Linked DNA regions of Mus musculus. The protein of the gene in region 1 purifies or fractionates together with the protein of each later gene. This does not show direct contact. Links are inferred from orthologs where the notes say so. Each region holds a gene or a part of one and is shown on either strand. Other genes may lie near its edges.

Region 1 (3,562 bases):
CCCTCTTCCCAGGGGCCTCTAGTTTGTGTCAAGCTGACAAAAACTAACCAGGAAATAAACATCCCATAGTCACACGGTCTAGGTATAGTCAAATCTTATTTTTAATGATTCCTTTTTTAAAGTTTTGACTTAAATTGCATGGTCTGTTTTAACCATATTTCTAGCCCAATTTCAAGAGTTCCTTTCTCAACTCAATTTAAATAGCAAATGAAATATATCAACTGCCCCTTGAGAAATTCCAATTAGCTCATTTACAAAAACAGAAAGACAGACAAGCAGGAGATGCTGTTAACTCTCATTTGCATACTCACACTTGGGGAGATATATTTATCATCTTCATCAATTTCTAACGGAACAGCAATTAATTTTTGGAATGCCTTCTTCATTTTCTCCCGATCTCCAATGGCAAAACAACTAAGGATGAGGTTGAAGCCTGCCTTCAGGCTCGGGGCCATGCTCATGATGTGCTCAAATGAGTTGATGGCATCTGAGTACTGACCAGTTTTTATAAATGTGATTCCAATGTTCTGCATTATTTTGATCCTAAACAAAGAAAACACGGGTTATTTAATGCTAAACAAAGAGGGACACCGACCAGCCTAAACTGTGTGAATCCTGCTCTGACGCTCAGGAGCTGCACCTCCCTGCCTCTTTCTCATCTTACTCTCTAATTTATAAAAGCCTTTTAATAGAGTAACAGGAGATCACAACATTTGGTGATTACTGCTGTATTTACATATGCAGGACAATAACCACATATTACCCTGAAAAGAAACCCTTTGTTCCCATCCTCAGTGAGCACTAGGCAACCACGAATTGACTTCCTGTCTCTGCCTTTCCTAGTTATTGCCTATAAGTAGAATCCTATGAAGTGTCGGGTTTCATTCCCTGACACAATCCTGAGGTTCCTCTATACTGTAGTATTGGTGATTCACCACCTTTTAAAATCACTAAGTGGTATTCTTTTTTTTTTTAAGATTTATTTATTATTATATCTAAGTACACTGTAGCTGTCTTCAGATGCACCAGAAGAGGGCGTCAGTTCTCATTACAGATGGTTGTGAGCCACCATGTGGTTGCTGGGATTTGAACTCAGGACCTTCAGAAGAGCAGTCGGTGTTCTTAACCACTGAGCCATCTCTCCAGCCCCACTAAGTAGTATTCTATATCATAGATACTATATTTTATTTTATTTTTTGAGACAGGGTCTCAACTATGTAGCCCTGGCTGCCTTGGTGGCTTGGCACTCTATGTAGACCAGGTTGGCCTTGAACTCATAGAGATCTGCCTGCCTCTGCTTCCAGAGTACTGGAATGAAAGATGTGTGCCACCATACCTGGCCATACCATATTTTCTTATTTACTGCCTACCTGGTGGAATTTTAGATTAGTGCTATGATTAATGCTACTATGAATATTCACATATAAACCTTTGAAATAGTGTAAATTTTCTTGATGGCCATATGGTAAATGTTTACCTTTTAAGATTAGCCTGTCTTCCAAAGTAGTTGTAGCATTTCACATATCCATTGCATAAAATTTCTAACTTATCAGCATCTCCATCAATACCTGTCCTTTTGGGTCATTCTAGCAGGTGTGATCCCGCCTCTTTTCTAAGTATATCTGAACATAATCTCATTGTCTATTCATAGTTAGCAGACTGTTATCAGGGTCACTCATTCCATGAATGTAACCCACCTCAGTTCCCTTCCTTACAGAACTCGGAGTAGTCCTCAGTAGTTACTACCTTGGCTAAATTACTACTGCACCCACTGCCTCAGTCATTATTAAGCATTTAATATATGCCCCCAAATTACATTTTCCTGACATGCTCAAATTCTTGGTCTTATCTGAGTTAAGGGTATTTCTAGAGTAATGTGTAAGTTAGGTAGCACTTGCTGAATAGTAGCATTTAAAGGGACTATCACAAACGAAATGTCCTAGGGAACATTAAACCAACAAATACAGGTTTTGCTCTTGAATACTGCAGGGGTAGAGAACACCCCAACTTCTCATTCCACCGTGATCATTTAGGTTCACTTGTCTCACAGCAGGAGGAGTGCGCCCCTGGGTCTTGGTTTCTAGCCACGTACTGTGGTCTGCCGTGCTGTCAGCACTGTTGTCAAGGCTGTGTTGGTGTTAAGCTGTGTAACGTTACTAACAGCTGCACTGCTAGCTTAGTTTTATTTTACTTGATCATACACTATTCCTTTAACCTTAATTTTGCCATTATAGAGGTGTGTGCAAACAGACACAGGTGAACAGAGCAAAATACCACATCTGAAACATGAACCTAACACCTCTCATCTATAAACACTTCAAATGCTCAGCCCAATGACAGCAAATCATAGTCATCTTATTTATGAAGAGATACTTAAAATTTAGACACTATATTTTACACTTACCTCATTTCTTTATGGACACTTGGGATCTGATCTAAGGCCATTCGGTAGAACTTAATGGCTTTGGAATAATTTCTCTGCTTTAAATAAATATTTCCCATATTCACTTTCAGTCTTCCTAATTAAAAAAAAGTATAAAGCATTTTCATGTTTGTACTTTTCCTATGATATTATAGACAATCTTAGCCTATATTCTCTAAAACTTTTTTTTCAAGTTAGGAAGCTTTAAATGTTTTTAAATGTATTGCGTGTGTATGTGTACTGGTATAGCACACATGTGTAGGTCAGAGGAAAATTCATGGGAGTTGGCTCTCTCCTGCCACTTTCTAGGATCTGGGGACTAAACTTGGGTCATAAGTCATATGTACAAGAGCGTTTACCCACTGAGCCATCTCATGGGTCCTGTTATGAAGTTTTATACATAAAATTCTAACATCAAAACAGTACACCACTGTCACGTGCTCGTGCATGAGACTTATGCTAAGGAAACCATGAGACAGGAGAGACCCCGCTAAAAGCACTTGCTGTGCAAGCATGAGGGGCTGCTTCCAACTTGGATGTACAGAGGAAGAAAAGAAGAGACTCTACAAGCTGTCCTCTGTCTCCACAAGTACAGCATCACATACATGCATTTGTATTTACACACACACACCACACACTTTAAAAAAGGAATATGAGACATCTGTAAGTTACTCAATAATGCTACATAATTTTAATATTAAAGGAAACTAATTAAATTTTAATATTATGACAAAATTATACAATATAAATGTACACTCATCTCTTGAGAACAGTCACATAAGGAAAGAAACATTATGGTTATCATGCTTCTTTCTTCCTATGATGATGGGACAAAAAATATTTTAATTTTTTATTTTTTTCTGAGACAGGGTCTCACTATGTAGCCCTGGCTGTCCTGGAGCTCCCTATATAGTCCAGGTGAATTCAGAGATCCACCTGCCTCTGCCTCCAGTTCTGGGATTAAAGGCATGAGCCACCTCGCCAGCTTGGAATATATTTTCTGTTTAGCATTAGCCACTTATCTCATGGCAATGGCATTTCTTCTTGTATTCGTATAGGTTTTCACACATAGTATCTTCAAGCAGGACACCACATCATAAATATAAATTTACTTAAAGAAAAGATCACTTTATTATAAAA
Region 2 (4,037 bases), on another chromosome or scaffold:
GCCCCTCAAAAGACTCAACCCCGCCTCCACCTGTCTTCTAGCGACCCGTCTCCAGCCCCCATCCTTCTCTCCCTCCTCACGAGTCTTCCTCTCACCATCGAGGTTCCTCTTAGCACCCTAGTCTCCCCATCTCTTTCCCGGTTTTGCGTCCTCAACCTTCAGATTCCCCTTTCTTCACGCCTCACTATCTCCAACTTCCCAATCCACGGCCTCAACTAGTTTCTTCCCTGCCCCCCCCCGCCCCACCCCTCCCCCTATTCCAACCCTAGCTCCTTCCCTTGGTGCACTCCTCAACCCCTTTTCTTTCCCCCTTTCCCGGCACTCCCACCCAAGCTTCTCCCCAAGTCCACCTAAGCTAAATCCGCTCCCTCTCCCGCCCAGAACCCTAAATTCTCACACACCCTCAGTCTAACCCGGGACGCCGCGGACCCCACCCTTAAGCCCACCTCAGGCACCCCTACCTCTTCATCCTCCCACCCCTCCCACCGCGAGCTCTACCTCGTCCCTAGGGCCTTTCCCCTCCCCCAGCCCCTCACACTCCGCCCCCGCACCCACGCGCTGCCTGAGGCTCGGCGAGCGGCCCGGCCCGCGGCCGCCACCTACCTGTGCCCCTGCCCGGGGCAGCGAGCGGCTGCACCTCACTGGCGGCTCCTTCCTCCACTGAGCGGCTGACCGGGAAGCGGCTCGGCAACCTAGGCCACAAAGCCCGTGAGGGTGGGACACACACAGAGGGTGGCAAGAGGGAGGGGCTGGGGGCGACCTGGCGCCGCGGGACTGAGGTACCAGCAGGGAGGGGTGGGGGGGGAAAAGAACTCGGCTGGGTAGGCGCGCGTGCGCGGGGCCGGCATGAGGGGCGTGGTCTGATCTGGAGTGGGCGGGGCATGTGGCGGGGCGGGGCCGGGAGTGGGTTGGGACAGCCGAGCTGAGAAAGCCGGGCGGTCGCAGGAAGGGTGAAAGGGGCGGGGCGGGGCCGTGCGTGTGCGTGCCCGCGCGAGGGCATGTCCCCCGAGATCTCTTGGAGGCCCCCCCACCTCCCCGAGGCAATGCAATGTAAAGGTAGTCCTGAGGAAAGACGCGCAAGTGAGGTGGCGCTTCTAGGCGGAGCCCCTGCCAGGAGAGGGCGGGGCGGGGCTGCGCAGGGCGCGCGCCTGGGAACTCCTCTGAGGCTGAGGCGGGGCGGGAGCGAAGCGAAGCGAGGCGGGGCGGGGCCAGGGCCGGGCGGGGCGTGACGGGCGGGGATCGCGAGCGGACCCGGTCCTTTCGCGGAGCTACCCAAGGCCCAGGCGAGCGGGTCCGTGCAGCACGGTGGGCGGGCACCGAAGAGGTGGGAGCCCGGTGGCGAGGCCGGCGGAGGGTTGCGGGCGGGAAGGAACCGGTTGTGAGGAGACGCGCGGCGGGTGACCGCGGGTGGAGCAGCGATGTCGCTGGGAGAGAACAGAGTGATTAGGGCCTGGCCTCTCTCTAGGCCCCCCTCCCCAAGAACTTTTAGTGCCCTGAAATGATGCTTTGACCCTCAGAAGGAAGAACAATTACAAATGACAGTTAATATGCCAAACGTAACACATTATCAGCACGGTCCAACCTCAAACAGGAATAATATTTAAAGTCAATGTGGGTGCATTTACGTTATTTGAAATTATTTGAGTCTTGGAGGTGAGAGGACTGTGTCCGGGCTGCCATTATGGGAGAAAGAGAATGACCGGTTTTAAATTTACACCAGAGCTACCAGTGGATGCTGTAGGAAAGGATTTGGGGCAGGCAGATGTAAGAGCACACAGACCCAAAGGTGCTGGTCAAGGAGAAAATCAACCCAGGACGTGACCCAGAGGTTTTCTGAAAGAAGTACCAGAAAGGGCTACACTGTATATTTAAAGAGAAAATCAATGGCCCTGGGAAAGGGTAGGGAATCCACCGTCCCTGTCTGTAAAACCCAGAAGGATGGATGGTGTCCTAGAGCCTACTACCACTTTGGTAGAGAGTCCCTGAGGGTATTCATCCTCGCTTAGATCAAGCATTGCCTCTCAAACCTCCATCTTGGAGCTGTGTGGAAACATGTCTGCTGGGTGGTTTTATGGGTTTCTTGGGATTGGTTTGCCTCTTTCTCATTAACTGCAACAAAACCTTAATGAAAGCCAAATCTCTGCCCCTGGTTTTAAAGAACAGATATTGGTAGTTCAGGTATATTCATTTTTTATTAAAGTGCTTTATATTCACTGTATTAAAGTGCTTGTTTGCTTTTTCCTTAGATCATTTAAGAATAAGGTAAAAAAAAACCTGAAAATTTGAAGAGAACACACTGTATCTTATTCATCTACTATATACATAGATATGAGAACATTTCCCTAGATGGTAACTCTTTTATTTATTTTGGTTTTTTGAGAGCAGGTCTATTCTAGCCCAGGAAAACCTTAAACTCACTTCTAATCCTCCAGCCTTGACCTACACAGTATATGGGGCATCACCCCTGACTTGTAATTTTTTTGAAAATGTATTATGCTCCCTTATACATTATTTATCCACATGAGATATATATCCTGTATTTACCTGTTTTGAGACATTCACACCAATTTTGATAGTAAAACTAGAAAATATAAAAACACCACAATTTTGTCAACCTTTTGCAGGGGATGTACATCTTTAATGTATGCATAACTGGAGGGGGCACTGGAAGTTTTAAAAAATGTTTATTACATTTATTCATTTGGAGGAGCATGCTTATGAGTTGGTTTTTTTTTTTTTTAATCTGCCCCGAACAGTATGGACCTTAATCATGTCTTTGAGAGGTTCTGAACTGAGCACCGTACTCTAGGTGTGAATCACATTGTTAGCACCCAGCCACTAGTTGTGTGTGTGTGTGTGTGTGTGTGTGTGTGTGTGTGTGATCAGCTTGCTGTATCAGCATTATAAGTGCCTGGGCCCTTAGTACCCGTGGACCCCTTACTGATGGAATGTGCTACCTCTTTAACTTCTTAAGTTGCGTTTTTATTGGCTGTTGGGTATCAGGCCTGGGGCCCATGCCTGCCCAGTGTCACTTTCCCATTGTCTACACCTTCAGCCTAACTTTTAGTAAATCTAAAATAATACTTTTTTTTTTTTTAAATAACACTTTTAAATTTTACCTTTGGGCCAGTCTTGTCTTAGTCTTGTCTTATGTTGATTTTTGTCATGGACTAAACAAGTTAAATTTTAATACATCTAGATCAAGGGTCATAAAAGGCCAAACAATATTTTAGGCTTTATAGTCTGTGACAGCTACTCAGTTCTGCCATACAAAGGCAGCCATAGACAATATGTAAATTGATGGATATAACCTTGTGCCAATGAAACTGTTCTATCTTGTTCACTTTCTCTCCCTTTCTTTTTGCCTCTCTCCCTCTCCTTCATTGAACCCAGGGTCATGAACATGCTAAGCACAGGCTATACAACTGTATTATACGCCCCTGCCCCTCCAGCATTTCTTTTGAGGGCCAGTTCTATTACTTAGCATATAAGCTGACATCTCAGCTTTGTCATGTCTACAGAATTGATAAGCACACTTCTTATGCCCATATTTAACAATGATGTTATTTCAAATACCTTTATTTAATTCTGCTCCCCGCTTCCTTTGACAATAGGATCTTATTCTGTAGCTGAGGATGGCCTGGAGTTTACTATGTAGCCCAGGCTCCCTGCCCACTTGTGATAATCTTGCTTTTAGTCTCCTACATGCTTTGATTATAGATCTGTACCACTATGCCAAGCCACATAAGTTTTGGATGGGATTATAGCTCAACAGTAGATCATGTGCCTAGCATTCTGAAAGCCCTGGGTTTAGTTCTTAGCGCTATAAAAATAAATTCAAATTTTAAGAAGTGCCGAATAGTACATGTTCATTTTGTTTTGCTAATAATCATTCTCTGAGTGTAGCTATTCAAAGAGCTATAAGTAATTGTTGAAGTATTGTCTGTTATTCAGCCTATATTTTCCTGGCCCAAAGTGTATCTTGAAAATATTTGTTAAAATTTTCAGAAACAAACATGTTCCTAATTGGTAGAAAC

What was found. Proteins that work in one complex are often made in the same cells at the same time.
Region 2: the proteins of Ift88 (region 1) and Hspb11 purify together in Homo sapiens (affinity purification with mass spectrometry; 3 studies listed by BioGRID and IntAct, with this or other methods). This does not show direct contact. The link is inferred for Mus musculus from reciprocal best matches to the Homo sapiens genes IFT88 and IFT25.

The regions. Positions count from the first base shown.
Region 1 is NC_000080.6:57,444,522-57,448,083, reverse strand, and holds part of Ift88 (intraflagellar transport protein 88 homolog), read right to left. Parts: intron 2,520-3,562; coding exon 2,405-2,519; intron 544-2,404; coding exon 312-543; intron 1-311. UniProt on the Homo sapiens protein: Positively regulates primary cilium biogenesis. Also involved in autophagy since it is required for trafficking of ATG16L and the expansion of the autophagic compartment.
Region 2 is NC_000070.6:107,252,672-107,256,708, forward strand, and holds the start of Hspb11 (intraflagellar transport protein 25 homolog), read left to right. Parts: upstream 1-1,231; 5' UTR 1,232-1,324; intron 1,325-4,037. UniProt on the Homo sapiens protein: Component of the IFT complex B required for sonic hedgehog/SHH signaling.